5 linked regions of the Xenopus tropicalis genome follow. The protein of the gene in region 3 interacts with the protein of the main gene of each other region in a pairwise test. Links are inferred from orthologs where the notes say so. Each region holds a gene or a part of one and is shown on either strand. Other genes may lie near its edges. The genes, in order: tk1, dazap2, tle1, foxa2 and hes6.1.

The links.
Region 1: the proteins of tle1 (region 3) and tk1 interact in a two-hybrid assay, tested with the Homo sapiens proteins (2 studies listed by BioGRID and IntAct). The link is inferred for Xenopus tropicalis from reciprocal best matches to the Homo sapiens genes TLE1 and TK1.
Region 2: the proteins of tle1 (region 3) and dazap2 interact in binary tests that used the Homo sapiens proteins (3 or more experiments, as listed by UniProt). The link is inferred for Xenopus tropicalis from reciprocal best matches to the Homo sapiens genes TLE1 and DAZAP2.
Region 4: the proteins of tle1 (region 3) and foxa2 interact in a two-hybrid assay, tested with the Homo sapiens proteins (2 studies listed by BioGRID and IntAct). The link is inferred for Xenopus tropicalis from reciprocal best matches to the Homo sapiens genes TLE1 and FOXA2.
Region 5: the proteins of tle1 (region 3) and hes6.1 interact in binary tests that used the Homo sapiens proteins (3 or more experiments, as listed by UniProt). The link is inferred for Xenopus tropicalis from reciprocal best matches to the Homo sapiens genes TLE1 and HES6.

The regions. Positions count from the first base shown.
Region 1 is NC_030686.2:26,185,841-26,189,935, forward strand, and holds the start of tk1 (thymidine kinase, cytosolic), read left to right. Parts: upstream 1-1,292; 5' UTR 1,293-1,310; coding exon 1,311-1,376; intron 1,377-3,465; coding exon 3,466-3,497; intron 3,498-3,885; coding exon 3,886-3,999; intron 4,000-4,095. UniProt on the Homo sapiens protein: Cell-cycle-regulated enzyme of importance in nucleotide metabolism. Catalyzes the first enzymatic step in the salvage pathway converting thymidine into thymidine monophosphate.
Region 2 is NC_030678.2:142,308,540-142,312,053, forward strand, and holds part of dazap2 (DAZ-associated protein 2), read left to right. Parts: intron 1-608; coding exon 609-854; intron 855-2,179; coding exon 2,180-2,308; 3' UTR 2,309-3,514. UniProt on the Homo sapiens protein: In unstressed cells, promotes SIAH1-mediated polyubiquitination and degradation of the serine/threonine-protein kinase HIPK2, probably by acting as a loading factor that potentiates complex formation between HIPK2 and ubiquitin ligase SIAH1.
Region 3 is NC_030677.2:133,433,301-133,436,814, forward strand, and holds part of tle1 (transducin-like enhancer protein 1), read right to left. Parts: intron 2,537-3,514; coding exon 2,389-2,536; intron 1,723-2,388; coding exon 1,572-1,722; intron 1-1,571. UniProt on the Homo sapiens protein: Transcriptional corepressor that binds to a number of transcription factors. Inhibits NF-kappa-B-regulated gene expression. Inhibits the transcriptional activation mediated by FOXA2, and by CTNNB1 and TCF family members in Wnt signaling.
Region 4 is NC_030681.2:35,623,900-35,628,212, forward strand, and holds foxa2 (forkhead box protein A2), read left to right. Parts: upstream 1-1,507; 5' UTR 1,508-1,537; coding exon 1,538-1,606; intron 1,607-2,441; coding exon 2,442-3,677; 3' UTR 3,678-4,127; downstream 4,128-4,313. UniProt on the Homo sapiens protein: Transcription factor that is involved in embryonic development, establishment of tissue-specific gene expression and regulation of gene expression in differentiated tissues.
Region 5 is NC_030681.2:128,040,286-128,044,243, forward strand, and holds the start of hes6.1 (transcription cofactor HES-6), read right to left. Parts: upstream 2,812-3,958; 5' UTR 2,797-2,811; coding exon 2,752-2,796; exon of another isoform or gene 2,714-2,751; coding exon of another isoform or gene 2,693-2,713; intron 1,379-2,692; coding exon 1,292-1,378; intron 906-1,291; coding exon 824-905; intron 662-823; coding exon 288-661; 3' UTR 1-287. UniProt on the Homo sapiens protein: Does not bind DNA itself but suppresses both HES1-mediated N box-dependent transcriptional repression and binding of HES1 to E box sequences.

The sequences.
Region 1 (4,095 bases), on a different chromosome or scaffold from region 3:
AAAGGGGTTATTTTTTTAAAAATGGGATGTGGTAATTGGGGCGTGGCCACAAAAGGGGGCGTGGTCAAAAATTGCCGTGCTGCGCGTGCCAAATCTTTTTGTCCCTCTTTTCATTTTTCAAATGTTGGGAGGTATGATATTATACTTCCTGACAATCTGATTAATACTATACAAACAAAGTAGTGAGAAACTGGGCAGTAGCAGTAATAGCAGGTAATATGACAAAGGAGAAAGTCAGAGACCTTCAGCGGGGCATGGAGCCCCTATTAGCTGGGCATGGAGCCCCTATTAGCGGGGCATGGAGCCCCTATTAGCGGGGCATGGAGCCCCTATTAGCTGGGCATGGAGCCCCTATTAGCTGGGCATGGAGCCCCTATTAGCTGGGCATGGAGCTCGTATTAGCTGGGCATGGAGCCCCTATTAGCTGGGCATGGAGCCCCTATTAGCTGGGCATGGAGCCCCTATTAGCGGGGCATGGAGCCCCTATTAGCGGGGCATGGAGCCCCTATTAGCTGGGCATGGAGCCCCTATTAGCGGGGCATGGAGCCCCTATTAGCTAGGCATGGAGCCCCTATTAGCTAGGCATGGAGCCCCTATTAGCGGGGCATGGAGCCCCTATTAGCTGGGCATGGAGCCCCTATTAGCGGGGCATGGAGCCCCTATTAGCGGGGCATGGAGCCCCTATTAGCTGGGAAAGCTCTCTCTGAAAATAAATATCTGCTATTGGCACAATTTTTTTTTTTTTTAAAAATGTATTTTCTTCTATTGCAAAAATTCTTACTTTGGCAAAAGGGACAGAGTTGGGGGGGGTGATTTTATTAAAATTGTGAAGCACTTCTTTAAACATACAGGCTAAGCGTAATACTAGTGCCAAAACGCGTCAGCCATCGTTCTAACAAGTGCCACAACCCACAACAGGATTTCGCTGCGGTATCAGCGGTAGATTTCATTGAAGCGTTCCGCAAGCTTTCCTTCATATTATATGCAACTGACCCTTGCATACTCCCTCGCTAACTGGAAAAGAACATTTACATTACAGGGTCCCACTAGTTACAAATTCATGTTTATTTAATTTTCTTTTCCCGCCACCTCCAACTCGTTTGCCAAACACCAGGCCAACCAGTGAAAGCTGAATCCCCTCCTTCCTCATCTTCATAACAGCGGGGGCTGTAGAATCCCATTGGCTAGCGTACACCATCGCCGCCTGTGATTGGACAGAGCTGCGCGGGAGAATGCACAGACGTTGTATTGAAAGAAGTGACTGTACCGGACACAGTCATTCCCGCGCTCTGCTCTCGCCTGGTACCGATATGAATTGCCTCAACGTACCCGAAATCATGCCAGGCTCGCCCAGCAAATCCCGGGGCCAGATCCAGGTAAGCCGGGCACAGCATTACATTTAGCCATGCAGTTTACTCTCCAGATGACTTGTCATGAAGTGAAGTGATTTGTAGTTCTAGGAGAAACTGGCTGAGCACTCTTGTTATATGACAGCTGCAAGGGAGTTTTTGTGTTGTATCTAGCCTAACACATCTTTATGAGAGGCCCCCTAAAGGGAACGTGTATTAATAGTGGGCTCAGGTGCATGTATAGATTATATTTGCCCTCAGTATTATACACCAAGGGCTGTGAGGCACAACACACTGCATCATGCAGCTCCCAGACATACATCTTGTATATAGACTTACATTTGGGTTAAGTATATATTTAAGTGCAACTGTACAGGGCAGGGACTTTGTTCCTTATTAGTGGGGTTATCATTTTTATATAAGTACCCAAGGGCATGTACCAAATGTGGCAGCCTTAGGGGTTGCACTCTGGTGCCTGGAAAGAACAAAACAAAATATATCCCTGCCCTTGAAGCTTATGGTGTGTGCCAAATAATTCTAGCAGTAAGTGGAAAGACTGCTAAGAATTCTGGTTTTTAGGGTAGTGGCACATATGGCATCATAGGGGCTGGGATTCAAAACAGAACCTGCTATTTCAAGCACACAGAGGCCTAAACAGCCAGGGACAGGCTCCAGAAATAGTGACTGTTTGTGGCATGTACCAAAATCTGCAGATTGGCAGTCTGAGCCTGATATTCAGGGTTATTTTCTAGGGGGGTTTATGGCACACAATGAATTCACTTTCTTTTGTATGTGAGCCCCATAAAGTGTTGGCAAAGACTATTCCCAGTGTCTTAGTACAGGGATCCCCAACCTTTTTTTGCTTGTGAGCCACACTCTGCTGTAAAAAGTGTTGGTGGGCCACACAGGCATGAAAAAGGTTTTTGGGGTTGCCAAATAAGGGCTGTGATTGGCTATTCGATAGCCCCATGTGGGCTGCTAGCCTGCAGGAGGCTCTGCTTGAAGTAAAACTGTGTCTCTGTGATTCCAAAACTTGCCTCCAAGCCAGACATTCAAAAATGAGCACCTGCTTTGAGACCACTGGGAGCAACATCCAAGGGGGTGGGGAGTGACATGTTGCTCAGGAGTCACTGGTTGGGGATCACTGTTGTAGTAGTTGGGATTGGGTATATATCATATGCATTCTTACAGAGTTTATCTATAAATAGAATACTAATGCTGGCAAAGGATGGAATGCAGAATTGTGTTTTGAACAAAGGTTTGACTGAATACACATTCTGTAGATAAAAGGTTCTACATTCCACAACATAGATTCTACATTCTGCCGCACTCACAGGTGGGGAGGAGAGCGGCGTTTATGCTGCTCCTTTGTTCTCCAGCCCCTAGGAAACAAGCAGTATTGTAAAAATCTGGTCTGTGTGCTAATTTTGAAGTAGTTGAAGAGACTGCCATGACTATTTTATTTATTATTTTCATTTTGGGGCCTTTACATTTCACGGTCTTTGGCGAACCTTTGTATGGATACAGGGCCAGAAGACCCGTCCTATTTATAGTGCCATACAATGGTACCTTTATCACATTTTGAAGATAAAATACAGAGAGGTTTGAGTTAGTTTTTACTAAAATTTATTAGAAATCCACTTTAGCAAAGCATTGCTACCACTGGAAATTATTTGGCCATGCAATTGTATGCTGATTTCTGCTGCACTGCTTTGAAAACCTGCTTATGTTTGGAATTTATGACCTGTACAAGTCAGAATTCTGGTATTGGCTCATTCGGGAGACATGGGGCCTTCCAGATCAGTGAAATATAAAATGCTTCTGATATATACTTCTGTATTGTATAGAAATTATTTTTATCATGTTACAGAAGTGGAGTTGCACAAAGACTCTGAGAATGTTAAGGTTGTCCTAACAAAGCAATGGGCAGTTTCAATATGTAAACTAAAAGACAAAATGCCCCAAAGAACACAAAATGCTCAAATTAGCTACATGGTTAATGATAAAAGATGTTAAAAAGTATACATGTCCATCAAATGAAAGTGTATATACCATGACTGCTATAGTTGGTTTGTGTGTTAATTTGTATTTCAAACCCATTTGTTTTTACTTTTAGGTGATATTTGGGCCAATGTTTTCTGGAAAAAGGTGAGTTCAAAGGACCGCGCAATTCTATATTCTCTCTCATGAGCTGTAATCTAGATGTTCCTTATTGAGAACAGTGTGTTGCTATGGCAATGGGGCACGCTACTTCCAATGGGCTAAAGTGCTTTGGAAGGAGGGCAGTAGGGGAATCAGTCTTGGTCTGCGTTGGGACAATTCTTCTTTTTTTTTTTTTTTTTTTTTTTTTTTTTTGAATGGATGGTGGTGCTGTTTGGTATTTGCTCACATTGCATCCATTTTTAGAGTGCTGCAGTATGTATTATAGTAAGCCTTTTTAAAAAAGTATGTTTATTGTCCTTTAACTGCTGTATGTCATCGCATGAGACTGCTTATTTTCCTATTCTGCTGAACAAATTTTCTGTATATTTTACAGCACAGAGCTGATGCGCAGAGTGCGACGGTTTCAGATTGCACAGTACAAGTGCATGCTTATAAAGTATGCGAAAGATACACGCTACAGCAAAGAGCATCTTGCTACACATGACCAGTAAGCAATTTTACACATTCTGTATTGTTAAGCTCATCTTATCTACATATAGAAATATCGCATATCATTGGTTGTGGTACATTTGTATTTACTGAT
Region 2 (3,514 bases), on a different chromosome or scaffold from region 3:
ACTCAAAATGGAACCCATTATTATTGTAAATATTGTGCTGTACTTTGTATGCCCAAATTGATTTTACACATTGTTTTCCCATCTGTTGGGAACTGCAGTTTTATCAGCATCTTTGAAATTCTTTTGGGTTCAGGAAGTGTTAAAGTGAAACGGACTTCATATTGTGCCAGAAATAATGGAAAACATAGATATTTGGTTATTAAAACAATAGGCAAAGGTATGTTAAGCACATGCCTTATTTATCGAGCTCATGTTGAAAAAGGGTGTGTAGTGTCCCTTTAAGCTCACAAGGTGCTGATAGTTTATTATATAAAACCCTGTTGACCTTACAAAAGACAGCATTCTGGCTGGTCTTGTAGTTTGGGGAGGGGACAACATACAGGGGAAACATGGGGTTTTGTGTTGCACTGCCCTGTAATTGTAGTATGGGTGTGTGTTTCAATGGTTTCACTACTTGTCTGCCATATATATAGTAGGCATTTTGAAATTATTCTTATTTTTAATGGTGGTCAATTATTTGTCCATTATTGGTAACAAATTATGCTTTTAAAGTATAGTTTTAGTTTATTGGTAATTTATTGGCACTAACAGATATATTTTTTTTCTAGCTCTACCGATCTGGGTATGTGCATCAAGCAGCAGCTAATATGGCCCCTCTGTCTGCAGCTTACCCCCCCAGCACATCAATGTATCTTCCTATGGCTCAGGCTATGCAAGTTGCACCAATGGCCTCATCAGTACCTATGGCTTATTACCCTATTGGTCCTGTGTACCCACCTGGCTCCACAGTCATTGTTGAAGGGGGCTATGATGCAGGCGCTAGATTTGGTGTTGGTAGCTCCCCATCTGTTCCAGTAAGTGTTATAACAGGCTATTAAATCGGTGTTAGAGACAAATATATCTGCTTTTGTATGTTATATCGGTATTAATAATGCTATCATTAAATTCATGTTCATAAAATCTAATTTATTTTTGCAAATGTATATGTATGTAGGGAGACATAAGGCGCACACCATAAACAGTTGCTTTACCTGGGTGCCTGAGAAACAACATAAACAATTCAGAAGAACGACACTTGCAAGATTTGCTAAATCAGTCTTCCAAAGGTTTTTTTTTTTATCTTCCGAAGAAGGTGCCTGTGGGGGACCGAAATGGTGCAAGATAAACCTTTGGAAGACTGATTCAATAAATCCTGTGAGTGCTGTTCTACTGCATTGTTTATGTTATACAAGTACTGTCAGACTGCATGCAGTATTCTTTCCAGCACTTTCCAGCTTTATACAGACATTATATCTTGCTGCAGGGAAAGGAGCATACAGAGCATGATATAAACTGTGTATATATATATATATATATAAAGTAACTGCTATAAATGGTTCTCTTTCTTTAAATACCAACATCTATTGTGCAATACTGAGTGTTACCTGTAACACTCCTTGATAAAAGTCCTAATGAGGATCGAAAACACATTTTTTTTTGTTAAATCTGGGGTGGTTTACTTATAAGTTAACTTTTAGTATCGTATAGAATGGCTAATGGCTGCTGATATTCTGAACTGGAGAGCTGCTGAATAGAAAGCTAAATAGCTCAAAGACCATAAATATTGAAAAACCGATTGGAAATTGTGGCAGAATATCACTCTACATCATGCCAAATGTTAATTTAAAATTGAACAACCAACCCTTTTAAGAGAGTGCTGGTATGTAACAAAGTTTTATATACACCTTCTAAAACTGGTTCTTGTGCCCTCTTACCTATTTTTGTACCATGGATATATATATATGCAAGGGTATAAATAGACAGGAATACAAATTTAAATACATCCCTGACAGAAAAAAAAATAGTAATTGTTATAGTTAACATTTTTGCATTATGTGGAAAGAAAATAGAAATTGCCTGTGGAGGAGAACTTAGTGACAGTGCCCCTGGAGAACCCTGCTTTATAACATATATTTCTGCATCAGATATTTAGAAGACAAGTGAAGTAGTGAGCACATCTTGGTTCTGACAGTGCTTCTTAATTTATTTTGACTCTGAATACATATTAACTTCCTAGCCAAATGATAGCTATGAATGTTAATGTTAATTTAGTAATTTGTGGTGGTATACCTTGTGCATTTTATACTATAAAATCTGCTACCATTTTAATGGTCTTTTCTCTTTTTTTTTTTCCTTTCAGCCACCTCCACCGGGCTGCCCCCCGAATGCGGCTCAGCTGGCTGCCATGCAGGGTGCAAATGTATTGGTCACACAGAGGAAAGGCAATTACTTCATGGGTGGCTCAGATGGTGGCTACACCATTTGGTGAGATGGAACCAGAGGCATGAAAACAGGGGTTAAAAAGCAAAAATAAAACAAAAAAAATAAACATAATACAATGGGCTAGCCTTTGTACAAGGAATGGCATCTCACCCTGTGAGCACTTCCCACAATGTTCTGCTTTAGAATATTAACCCAGATTTGCTGTTTAGTCACGGATGTCGTGGGATGTCTTCCTGGTGCTCATTCTTTAAGTACTCCTACTATATATTAAAGGAGGTCCTTTTAATAAGGAAAGAAAATGCTTTGCAACCCTTTAAAACACCTCTAACCTCTTCCCATGCACCTTCACTTAATAATAAACTTTCAAATTACAGGCTGATTTTAGGCTCACCGAGTCCTTTAGATGAGGGATGGAAGGACTGTGCGTTAGGAGTAATATTTGAAATAACTGAGAAATTGTTGTGCTTTATAACTGTTGCTGGCTTTGGAATAGGACACAGCTGTATTAATAACACCTAGGACTGCATATTGTATCTTTTAAAGAAAGCAAAATGAAATGCCTAGATAGACAAATATATTTGGCCTCTATTGCTGAATGTCCTATCATCATTTCTCTATGTATTTCAGAAAGTCCTATTTCTTTTCAATCCCCAGATTTCAGATATATGCATCTTGTTTCTGTCTTCTGCAAGTCAACCATTTGTTTTTTAATTTCTGAATGCTGCTTGAAACAATTTCTGCTTTTCAGGGTTATTTGCCCTTTTAATTAGCAGCATGATAGAATAGTTGGATATTGTAGAGATTAGCAGTTAGACTACACACGAGGGTGCTATATTATCATTTTCAGATGCAAATCATATAACTTACAATACTTAATAATACTATATATTTTTTTTTGTTAAAATGATTTTAGGTTTAACTACTGGTGTTTCTCAAGTAGCACTGGGAAATGGAAGTAATAGGCAAGGCTGCTAAGCATGGTGCTTTTTGTGCCTTTTCCACCAAATAGCGTATATAATAAGCCAGCCTAAACACATTTTCTGCTCACCTCTTAAATCTAAATTATTTGTTCTTCTAAAGGGATGGTGTTTTGGTCAAGGAATGGTAATTCAGCAACACTTTATTTTTTAAGTAATTTGCCAACCTACATAAATGTATAATGCATACTTTTATGAAAAGAATGAACATGTATATATGTTTTTGGAGGTCAGACTTAAGAACCACTGACAGCTTAACAAGTGCAAAGAGTTAT
Region 3 (3,514 bases):
ATATGTTTTGTTTTAAACCATTCCATTGTTGCCCTGGCTTTATGTTTAGGGTCGTTGTCCTGCTGGAAGGTGAACCTCTGCCCCAGTCTCAAGTCTTTTGCAGACTCCAAGAGGTTTTCTTCCAAGATTGCCCTGTATTTGGCTCCATCCATCTTCCCATCAACTCTGACCAGCTTCCCTGTCCCTGCTGAAGAGAAGCCCCCCCAGAGCATGATGCTGCCACCACCATATTTGACAGTGGGGATGGTGTGTTCAGAGTGATGTGCAGTGTTAGTTTTCCGCCACACATAGCGTTTTGCATTTTGGCCAAAAAGTTCAATTTTGGTCTCATCTGACCAGAGCACCTTCTTCCACATGTTTGCTGTGTCCCCCGCATGGCTTGTGGCAAACTGCAAACGGGACTTCTTATGGTTTTCTGTTAACAATGGCTTTCTTCTTGCCACTCTTCCATAAAGGCCAACTTTGTGCAGTGCACGACTAATAGTTGTCCTATGGACAGATTCCCCCACCTGAGCTGTAGATCTCTGCAGCTCCCCCAGAGTCACCATGGGCCTCTTGGCTGCATTTCTGATCAGCGCTCTCCTTGTTCGGCCTGTGAGTTTAGGGGGACGGCCTTGTCTCGGTAGGGTTACAGTTGTGCCATACTCCTTCCATTTCTGAATGATCGCTTAAACAGTGCTCCGTGGGATGTTCAAGGCTTTGGAAATCTTTTTGTAGCCTAAGCCTGCTTTAAATTTCTCAATAACTTTATCCCTGACCTGTCTGGTGTGTTCTTTGGACTTCATGGTGGTGTTGCTCCCAATATTCTCTTAGACAACCTCTGAGGCTGTCACAGAGCAGCTGTATTTGTACCGACATTAGATTACACACAGGTGCACTCATCAGGCAATGTCTATGGGCAACTGACTGCACTCAGACCAAAAGGGGGCTGAATAATTACGCACACCCCACTTTGCAGTTATTTATTTGTAAAAAATGTTTGGAATCATGTATGATTTTCGTTCCACTTCTCACGTGTACACCACTCTGTATTTGTCTTTCACGTGGAATTCCAATAAAATTGATTCATGTTTGTGGCTGTAATGTGACAAAATGTGGAAAAGTTCAAGGGGGCCGAATACTTTTGCAAGCCACTGTATGCACTGACAGGCTAGGGATCAGCTTGTCAGTGCACACGCAGTGGATTTTGTAGCAAAAATGCATATTTTAAAGTTCTAAAGCCCTGGAGTCTGCTGTGTGTTTACTTGTAATGTTGTTTTGTCCATTCCTGCAAGAATGTTGAATGTTTTAATAAGTATTGTTAAATTTTAATATGCATTAAAACCGCGGCAGTTACCACATACACATTCAGGAAGCAGAAGGCAGCAGATCAGCTTTTCTCCCGTTGCATATAAAATGTCAGAGGCACAGCGAAAACAGTTAGGCTAATGGCAGAGTTTGTTTTCTTTGCTTTTATGGTAAAAATGAATTCTAAATGGATTGCTGGGATAATATTTCAGTTTATAAACACAGCACTCTGAAAATTAGACATCACCCCCACTCCCCTGCAAAATAAAATAGTTCCAACTTACCGCAATAGGCAAATTTTAGTGAGAGTACACAGCTTTCATGCAGGTGCAGCTGATACTTGTCTGGCTTGTTTACATGCAGTACTTCCACATTACTACTCTCCATTCCAACAGCAAGCCATTCACCAGTTGGGCAATACCCAAGAGAGAAGATCTATAGGAAACATACAGTGGTCAATCAATGCAATAAACCATCATTAGGCTACAGTAGAACCTAGATTTTAGGTTTTCCCAGAACTGATGCAGATTTTTGATCTTATGGTTTTCTGATAATTATGCCTTTTTGATACACTACAGTACCCAATCCCGGTGCAGTTTTCAGGTGACAGGAGCACTGGTAAGCAATTATACTCATAACTGTTAATTGGAAATCTCATTGTTAAGTGAAAATACAAGAGTAAAAAGAATCCCCCTGCCCTCATTTTCACTTCAAATTGCACCATGAGGCTATATGTAATTCCTGTTAAAATCAATGGGAAATTATTTCCCTAAAAGTAACAAATTACCATATGTTACATTAACCTAAATGTTTGCATTTTTATTATTTCCTTTCCTCTGGATTATTGCAAAGTTTGTATTACAGATAAACTACAGACAGCTGGAATGTCAAATGGCATGGTAGTAGCAATTGCCTCTGCAAACTAGGACTATTACTTATTTATATTAAAAAATACATTTTAAAAACATTTTATAAACCACAGTATTCATATAGGAATTATTCTACTCTCAAATAAGTAAATATTTAAAGAATAATATTAATACTTGACATTATCCCATTTTTTAGAAGGGTTGAAGGTGAAAGAAATATGGCAGCAATTACCTGTGATGTAAAGTCATGCTGCTGGAGCTGCCGTCCTTCACGCAGGTCCCAGGACCTTACCGTGTTGTCCAAACCCCCGGTCCAGAGCTTGGTACCATCATTAGAAATGTCAATACAGCTGGCTCCATCTGTGTGGCCCTGGAACTGCCTGATAAGACAAACACGATTGAATAATGATTTCCTGCCAGTATTCAAGGTAAACACTGCTGTGTTGTTAGCTTTGGACTTTCCCTACATGTGTCACCTCTTGTAAATATATTAAAAGAGTAACACGCCCCCCTTTCTGTTTTGAGATAAAGCGCAGGCGCTTATGTGGCTCTAATTTCAGTAATTTAATTAGCAAACTTTAGAATAGGCAATTTGGATAAAATCATTTGTTGCCAATGAGCGGATTCTTCTAATTATATTTTATACAAGCATTGCACAAAATAGCTTGCACAAAATGTTCACTTATCTCTATGGCTGCAAAGAGTTTCTCTAAGGGATAATATTTAACAGAAAATTTCAGTATCCATACAAAAATGCTCAATAGACACAAAAGTTTCCAATGTATACAAAATCTAGACTGCATGAGCTCCTGTTTTTATACACCCATAATGTTTTTCTGTTCCTTACTAAAAAAATCTTTGTTTTGTTCTAGTACAGTGGTTCTCAACCTTCCTAATGCCGCGACCCTATTTACTAGACTAACGTTTCGGCTAGCACTCTAGCCTTTTTCAAACTTTGAAAAAGGCTAGAGTGCTAGCCGAAACGTTAGTCTCCTCTTTAATAAAATAATTTGTTTGTATAAGTCCTGTGAGTGCTGACCCTCTCTCAAGCACTTATATATATATATATATATATATATATTTTTATTTTTTTTTTTTACAAGAGAGTGGCACACCGCTTTAGTTAAATACCCAGGTGCATGGTAAAAATATAACACATCACATAAAAAAGACCAGCAACACTGCCATACATACTAGAAGTATGTGCCCCTGTACAAAAAAAAAAAAACTAATATAAAAATAAATAAAATATATTGGCTAGAAGGGAAATTCCAAAAGGAGACTGACTAACTGTGCTTAGAATTTCATGTGAAGGTAGGAACTAGAATTATCAGAGTCCCAAATCTGTCATGTGCCTG
Region 4 (4,313 bases), on a different chromosome or scaffold from region 3:
TGTATTTAGACACATGCCTCCCACCTCCCTACTGTATACAGCTTGTGCGTTCTGTTTTATTTTATTATTAGTAATTTCCCCTCATTGTACAAGATTAGCTTTCTGTACATTGCAGGGCTGTTCAAACGAAAGGCAACGCTTTATTCCTCTTCAGAATTTCCTTGTTTTCCTAAGGCCCAATTTATTGACCATCCCTGAGACGATCTGCTAAATCTGCGATGATCAAACACGTTAAATAAACTTTACTTTGTTTAATATCTCAAACAGCAAACGTGCCCTCCAGAATAAATATATGTTGCAGCTCTGCTTGTGCGCTTAGTTCAGTCGGAACGGGCGGCAAATGACAGATCTCAGGCAGATGGAGCAGACACTATACAAAATACAGAACAAATCTATTTTATTATATTTTATGCAAGTGGATTATCGTCGGTTCTGGGGCAAGATTGGAAGGAATACAACAAGATCGTAGAACATTTCGTCTCTTTGAGTCGATGCTGTGGATAGGTTTTCATACTCAAATGTATTATCTGTAATAAATTTTTATTTTGGCATTTCCCTTTCCCTGGGATCTGGGTTTTTAAGGTAACTTTCTGTAAAGATTCACAGGACTTTGTATCAAATTGGAATGGAATTTTCCTGATTGTGGTGAGATTAAAAATGTAACCTTATTGCATTATCACTTTATTCTATTTCTGTTATTTATCGTTAAACCTTTACCTAATTGCACTTTCATTGGTTCTGAAATAAATCGCAACCAATTATCTTATGTGGGAGTAATAATTCTTATTTCTATTATCTGTATATGCGTCCCAGTTATTTGCCATTCATATTGATTGTGAATTCAATAAAATAAAATGGTGTATAAAATAATGTGTGTTGGGGAGTTGTATTTTGCTTTGGTATCAGTTAATAAGATATCTGCCAGTTTAGGTGACTACAGTTTCTCCCATATCCATGTAGAGGAACAAAAAAATTGGGTAATAAAGTGAGTTTGTGTCCTTCTCTCGTCCAATCCCCACTCCTCCCCTAGGGAAGTGCACAATCAGATTAAAGCTTAATGAATCTATTCAAATAGGTTTAAGGCAGGTGTAGAATAGCAGGGCCAAGGAACAGTCTGGCACTTAGGTGTGAGCTGATTATTCAAATGGGCAGGCGAAGACCTGGGGATTGGAGGTTTGCCTGGAGCTGGGTGCTATATCACCCTGCAGCAACGTCACTACTAGACTTGGAGTCATCATCATCATCCTCCTCCTCAGCAGCAGCACCCTGAGGTCTTTTTCACCCCCTGCAGCACCTCTTGCTACTTCAGTTTCCCTGAAACCCCATCCCACTCATTGAGCAGCCCCTCTGGCTGTCCATTTGTGCCCAACACTAGCCCAGCAGCAGCAGCAGCCACCTCCAGCCTTCCCCCTCCTAGTGATCAGAGAGGAAGAGGGAGGGTTCCTGGCTCCCTCACACTCTCTCTCTTTTTGTTGCTATCGCTGTCGTAGTTGTTGTGGCAGTTAAATTTTAAACTGCCAGGCACTCAGCTTCCAGTATGCTCGGGGCTGTGAAAATGGAAGGACACGAAGCCACAGACTGGAGCAGCTACTACGGGGAACCCGAGGTAAAGAGCCGCTTGTCGCTAATGGCACAATCCTTGCCTCATTCTGCCTCTTTATAGCGCACTGTTAGCCCTGGGATAATATTAACTTGGTCATCAAATATTGACTTGTGGCGCCTCCAAATCCTCCTCGATGACTGAGCCACACACTGTCCCAACAAAGTTCTGTTTGGCATGGGCAGGGGGGGCAAGGCAATGGGCACAGGCAAGGGGAATTGTATGGAAAAAAAACAGATTATACTTGTGAATTTAACTAATCACACTTTCAGGAAGAACAGTTTGTACTAAATATGGACATTTTCCTGATTTTCTCCTGGAGTTGTCTTTAGTAAGAACCCTTATACCCAAAGGGCTTCCCAAGGCTGGCTTGGGGGGAGAGGGGCTGCTATATTCCTTAAATCATTTTATTTCGTTTTTTGTTGTTTTTTTAGCATTTCTGGGTCTCTGAATATTTGACACTTTCGTTTTCTTTATTATGGAATCAACAGTAGGGTCAGAATAGCAATGTGTGGGCAGCCTTATAACTGGGCAGGTATAGAGAAACGTATAAATAAATATTTATTGATCTTTTCTAGAGGGGCTATATATATGTATGTATATTGTATTTAATATTATTTGACATGATTTAAGCCCGAGTTGTTTAACATTAACAGAAGAAAACGTTCTACGAGTTGTACATGTGTCTCTACAACCTGTGACTTCCGAGCTCTTGCTGAACTACATCTTCCAGCCTTCCACGTCTGCCTCCACGGACAGTGTGTTTCAGCCAGAGCCGGAGGGCCACAGGTTGCTGTTGATTTTGCGACTTTTAGATTGTGACCCTGTCGTTTGTTCCCAGGCTTACTCCTCGGTGGGTAACATGAACGCCGGGCTGAGCATGAACCCCATGAACACGTACATGAGCATGTCTGCTATGAGCACCTCGGCCAACATGACCGCCGGCTCCATGAACATGTCCTATGTGAATACTGGGATGAGCCCATCGCTCACCGGCATGTCTCCTGGCACCGGGGCAATGACTGGAATGGGCACCGGGGTAGCCAGTATGGCAAGTCACCTCAGCCCCAGTATGAGCCCGATGAGTGCCCAGGCTACTTCTATGAATGCCCTGGCACCCTATACCAACATGAACTCAATGAGCCCAATCTATGGACAGTCCAACATCAACAGATCCAGGGACCCCAAGACTTACAGGCGCAGTTATACGCATGCGAAGCCCCCCTACTCGTACATCTCGCTCATCACCATGGCGATCCAGCAGTCCCCCAACAAGATGCTCACTCTCAGCGAGATTTATCAGTGGATCATGGACCTGTTTCCTTTCTACAGGCAGAACCAGCAGCGCTGGCAGAACTCTATCCGCCATTCTCTTTCCTTCAATGACTGTTTTCTCAAGGTGCCCAGGTCCCCTGACAAGCCCGGAAAGGGCTCCTTCTGGACCCTACACCCCGATTCGGGCAACATGTTTGAGAATGGCTGTTACCTGAGGCGACAGAAACGCTTCAAGTGCGAGAAAAAGCCCAGCCTTAGAGAAGGGGGAGGCAAGAAACTCTCAGAAGGGTCATCGAGTGTGGGCTCTGCAGCCAACAGCAGCTCTGAGAGCTCAGTGGGCAATGAGTCCCCGCACTCCAGCTCGTCCCCCTGCCAGGAGCAGAAGAGGTCTCTAGTAGATATGAAGTCCAGCCAAGGCTTAAGCCCAGACCATGCAGCCTCCCCAGCCTCCCAAGCCCAGCACTTGCTTTCCCAGCACCACTCTGTCTTGTCCCATGAAGCCCAGTCCCACCTCAAACCAGAACACCATTATTCTTTCAACCACCCATTCTCCATCAACAACCTCATGTCCTCAGAGCAACAGCACCACCATCACCACCACCACAACCACCATCATCACCATAAAATGGACTTAAAAGCTTATGAACAGGTGATGCACTACTCTGGTTACGGGTCCCCCATGACTGGCAGCCTGGCAATGAGCACAGTAACAAACAAAAGTGGCTTAGAGTCTTCACCTATTTCCAGTGACACCTCATACTATCAAGGTGTGTATTCTAGACCTATCATGAACTCCTCATAGACTTTCTACCATGGACTTGTCACCTGGGCTCTGTGTATATAATATTAAGAAGAAAAACAACATAGTATGTGTCTACATTCCTATTGAATTGTACAGTCCCCCGAGTTTGTTTCTGTATAGGAGCTTAGCTTGTTAAGCTATGTTTGATTTGGGTGCTTTTCTTTGGCAAGGAGTATATTTTTGTGAAAGTGACGGATCCTAATTTTTCTGTGTGAAATCTGTTAATTTTCCCTAAGGACCAAAATTGTGTGATATTGGTAATGTTAAAAAAAACAGAAACGGAATATATTGATGTAATTGAAAAAAAAGATGTTTTTTTTTTTTATTTGTTTGGGGGAGATGCTTGAAACTGGTTAATTTATGGTTTCTGTATGTTTTATTTATGACTGCTGTATGTATTCTGGCCATAACCGGCCGGTTTAACAATCTCTATTAAAAAATGAATTGGCATTTCTGTCGGGATTTTTCTTTCCACCTCTATACACATATTTTTGTGGCTGAAGGTGAATCAGATAAGTGAGCACAAGCCAAGGTCTGGACTGTACCAAGGTGGGATACAGGGAGGCTGAAGGGTTCTGCTCTGCTGACACTTCCCTTCAATTTCTCACAAGTCCATGAAAGTTCTGCCACAATGGG
Region 5 (3,958 bases), on a different chromosome or scaffold from region 3:
ATCTTCATATTACACAAAAACACTATAATGGAAAGTATCTACAGTGTGATGCTCCAACATCAGCGTCAAAGTGAAACATCCAGAAGGTAGTGGCAGTGGAACAATCAGAATTTTTCATGGGTCATCCTATACAACAGTACTAAGTCCTTTCCTTTAAGTGTTAAAATAGGTTGAGTTCCTATTACAGAGATCCAAAAATACAGAAATGACAGGTGGTGGCTCTTTCATAGTTGATGTACATTAATACTAGTGTATGAGCATGGCTCCCTGTGATCTTCTTCATTTGGTCACCATGGTCTCCACATTGTAGGGGTGGGGGGCTGAATCTCAGGGGTCCGGCCACTGTCCTGGACTGAACCCATTCCAGCCTTTTCCCCCTCAGATTCCTCCATATCAGAGCAGCTATCCTCAGAGGAGGATCCAAGCACTCCCAAGCCACATCCCTCTTCAGAGCTAGTGGAATCCAGAAGTACATCCATCACTAGGTCTTGCAAGCTGCCCTCACTCAGGGGCATAGACTCCAGCAAGTGGTTCAGAAGCTCAGCAGCCAAACTGGCATCGATGCCAGGACAACTGGATACAAAGGTGTGAACTTCATGCATACACTGGATGTACCCTGCTGCGAAACGCTCACTGGCCTCACGCTGTAACCGATCAGCCTCTGTAAAATAAAGAAATCACTATGACTATGGGCACTGGCACAACATACCAGAGACATTAGCCAAGACAACCAGACGAAAGCCGCTATGTGCGTATACACAAGGCCCCCCATGCCTTTACTAGGAGGAGGTGTTCTATACATTCTTGGCACACACACACTTACCAGCTGTTCTGTTCCGAAGGATCCGCTCAACACGTTTCACAGTCAGTTCTAGAACCTCTGCGTTCTCCATTTTTGACTGAAACTAAAGAGAAATGACAATGCCTTAATGTAAACATCTACATGTGAGTGTAGCACAGGATCATACTCATGGTACAGCAGAACTAATGGAGCAAATGTACATCAAGCAGAGAGAAAATGCAGAAAACTAATATCCCATGGGGGCTACAACCATATAGGTGTGTTTACATTTACACACACACACACACACACACACAAATCCCCACACCGTGTGAGCTCTTTTTGTAAGTACTCTGTATGTTCAATGCATACACAATAATTGTACAGTACTGTGGCATATGTGGCACTTTAATAAACAAATGTAAATATATACATACAGATAAAAAGAACAAACTTTAGCAGCAAGTATAGTATGAATAAAAGGCTGCTCGTCTGAGCTTCTGTACATACCTCAGTGTCAGACAGGATCCCACGCAGATCCTGTAGGCTCTCATTTATTCTAGCTCTTCTCCTCTTCTCAACCAGAGGTTTCCTCATCTGTTTAAAAAACCAAACAAACAAATGCCCGTTATAAACTGCCCCAACACAAACACTGTGGAAGGAATCTGGCAAATAATACATTCAGGGCACCAAAGAGTAGGATCTATCAGACTGAATCAATTATTTTGCAGCATTTGTCCATCTTGGATGTATGCTATGTGAGAAGCCCATGATCTACACAGTCTTCCTTTAACCCTTTCACCATCCACTTTTATATATCAGTGAGGCTCATTCATCAACTTAGCGCAGTAATTGGCCAATATCAATCTGCTGCAGGTACAATACTGAAAGGCGATATCTAGTTGCTATGGGTCACTAAAGCTTGCCCAGGGCTAGTAAATGAACCCCACTCTCTCCAGAGTTTCAATTATCAGTTAAACACAAAAACACCAAGTCCTCCAAACAAATCTAACTAAGAAATGTCTGATTATAGTCGCAAGGCAATAGCAGTGCACTCCGCTAAATACTTATCTAACTTTCATTATAAATGAATTGGGAAAACTGTCTCTTGAAACTATACGGCAGAAGTTGGTTCCTTCAGATCAGTAAATGAGCGTATTTCTACTACATTGTTCCAGGAGCCAGAGACAGATATTGCTTCCAATAACAATTACATTACAAATGGACTTGGGGGCCATTTAAAGCTGTACAGTCATACAAACTGGTTGCAGGGGAACTTAAAATGGCAAAACAAAGTGCATGAAAGGCAACCCTGCTACAAAGTTTCATTCTAGTATATACCTTCCTAGAGACAACAGCCAGGTCCCCCTCTATAAACAGTGCCATGTAAGGCAACACATTCACTGCGCCCAATCACATTCTAAATGTACAAGTTTTTACAGGCATGGGGTTAGGCTTTGCAATAGGCAGCCCTACAACTGGGCAAAACTACAACTCCCAGCAGCTACAGCTCTGAGGGCTGCATTTAATTACATTACAGAAATATCAAGGCACGGAGCTGATCTGCAGCCAAGTTACGGCACAGCAAAGCCAGTATAGCGCTTAGCCAAACGCAAAGCGATACATCGGTGCAACAGTGTCGCACGTAGAGCGTGTAGGCGCACAAAGGCTGCACACACGTCCCGCTGAAGCATGGGCACGGCAGCACATACCCCAGGCAGCCCGGAACACTGCCGGAACACTGGGGGGACTAATTCAAAGACAAATCCGTGCATAAGGCTCAGCAAAGCGAGAGGCGCAATGAGTGCGCACAATAGGTGCCCAGAGCGATCGCCGCGCTACACAGCCCCGGCCTGTTGGTTTAATCCACACACAACGGAAGTGAAAGTGTTGCGCCGGGGTCTCCCTCACCTGCCTGTCCCCCCGCTCCATGGGAGATATAGTGGTAGATATAACCGGAGCCACAGTACCGTGCCTATATAGCGCTCTCTCACCTGCCTCTCCCTGCGCTCCATCTGATCGCTATGGGACGTGCTACCGAGCTCTTTGTGACGTCACTCTGCGGCTGCCCGCACTCTCCATATATCGCGCCTCATTTCCATGTGAATGGCAGGCCGCTCGTTGCGTCACGTACGCCGCCAACCAATGGGAGCGCGTCGCATTGTGCCAGTCGGCAGCTGCTGGATAGGGCTGCGGGAGTGTGAGGCTTAGGTTGCAGGTACCGCCCGCACTGAATTATCGCAATGCTGTGCTATAGGCGTTTTATGTGCGGCTGTTGCTTTCAAGTCCTGTTTCTTATCACCTGCCCTTATAGTGCAGCGAATGTGTGGGGTTCTCCGAGGTTTAATACACCCGCTCAGCTTCAATTCCGCCAAGTGCAGACACAGATCAGTTAATAGTGATTCATTCAGTTAGTTAATTTTATGCAGCAAATTAAGAAAGATTTTGAATCGTCTGTCTTGTGTATATTATGTCATAAGGTCGAAAAAAAGGTTTTGCTCACTACTAAATTTTGAACCATTAGGCTGGGGTGCAATGAGGCTGTGACCCCAAAATTCACGGGGGCAGCAATAAGAGATCTGCACTGACCCATTATCTATATAGGCATTAAACTACCAAGAAATGCCCTCCTCTCTAAGCAAAACAGGGATTGTTTGTCCATATATTGCAATATACTTCTAGCTGGCCAACTATGTCATCCCTGGTCTGGCTAGTCCTACACTCACTTTCATCTGATTCATTAACAATTCTATATATATTACCAAAGGGTGAGAGCAGAGTTACATAGGGTTGAAAAAAGAGTCCATCAAGTTCAACCCTTCCAAGTAAACCCAGCACCCACAAACCTATTTGGTCTCCAGTGCTCAAACGGGACATTATTGAGTTAGAGAGGGTACAGAGAAGGGCAACTAAGCTGGTAAAGGGTATGGAAAGTCTCAGTTATGAAGAAAGACTGGCCAAGTTGGGTCTGTTTACACTGGAGAAGAGGCGCTTAAGAGGTGACATGATAACTATGTCTAAATATATAAGGGGATCATATAATAACATTTCTAATGTTTTATTTACCAGTAGGTCCTTCCAACGGACACGAGGGCACCCACTCCGTTTAGAAGAAGGGAGGTTCCGTTTAAATATTCGGAAAGGATTTTTTAATGTGAGAGCTGTGAAGTTCTGGAA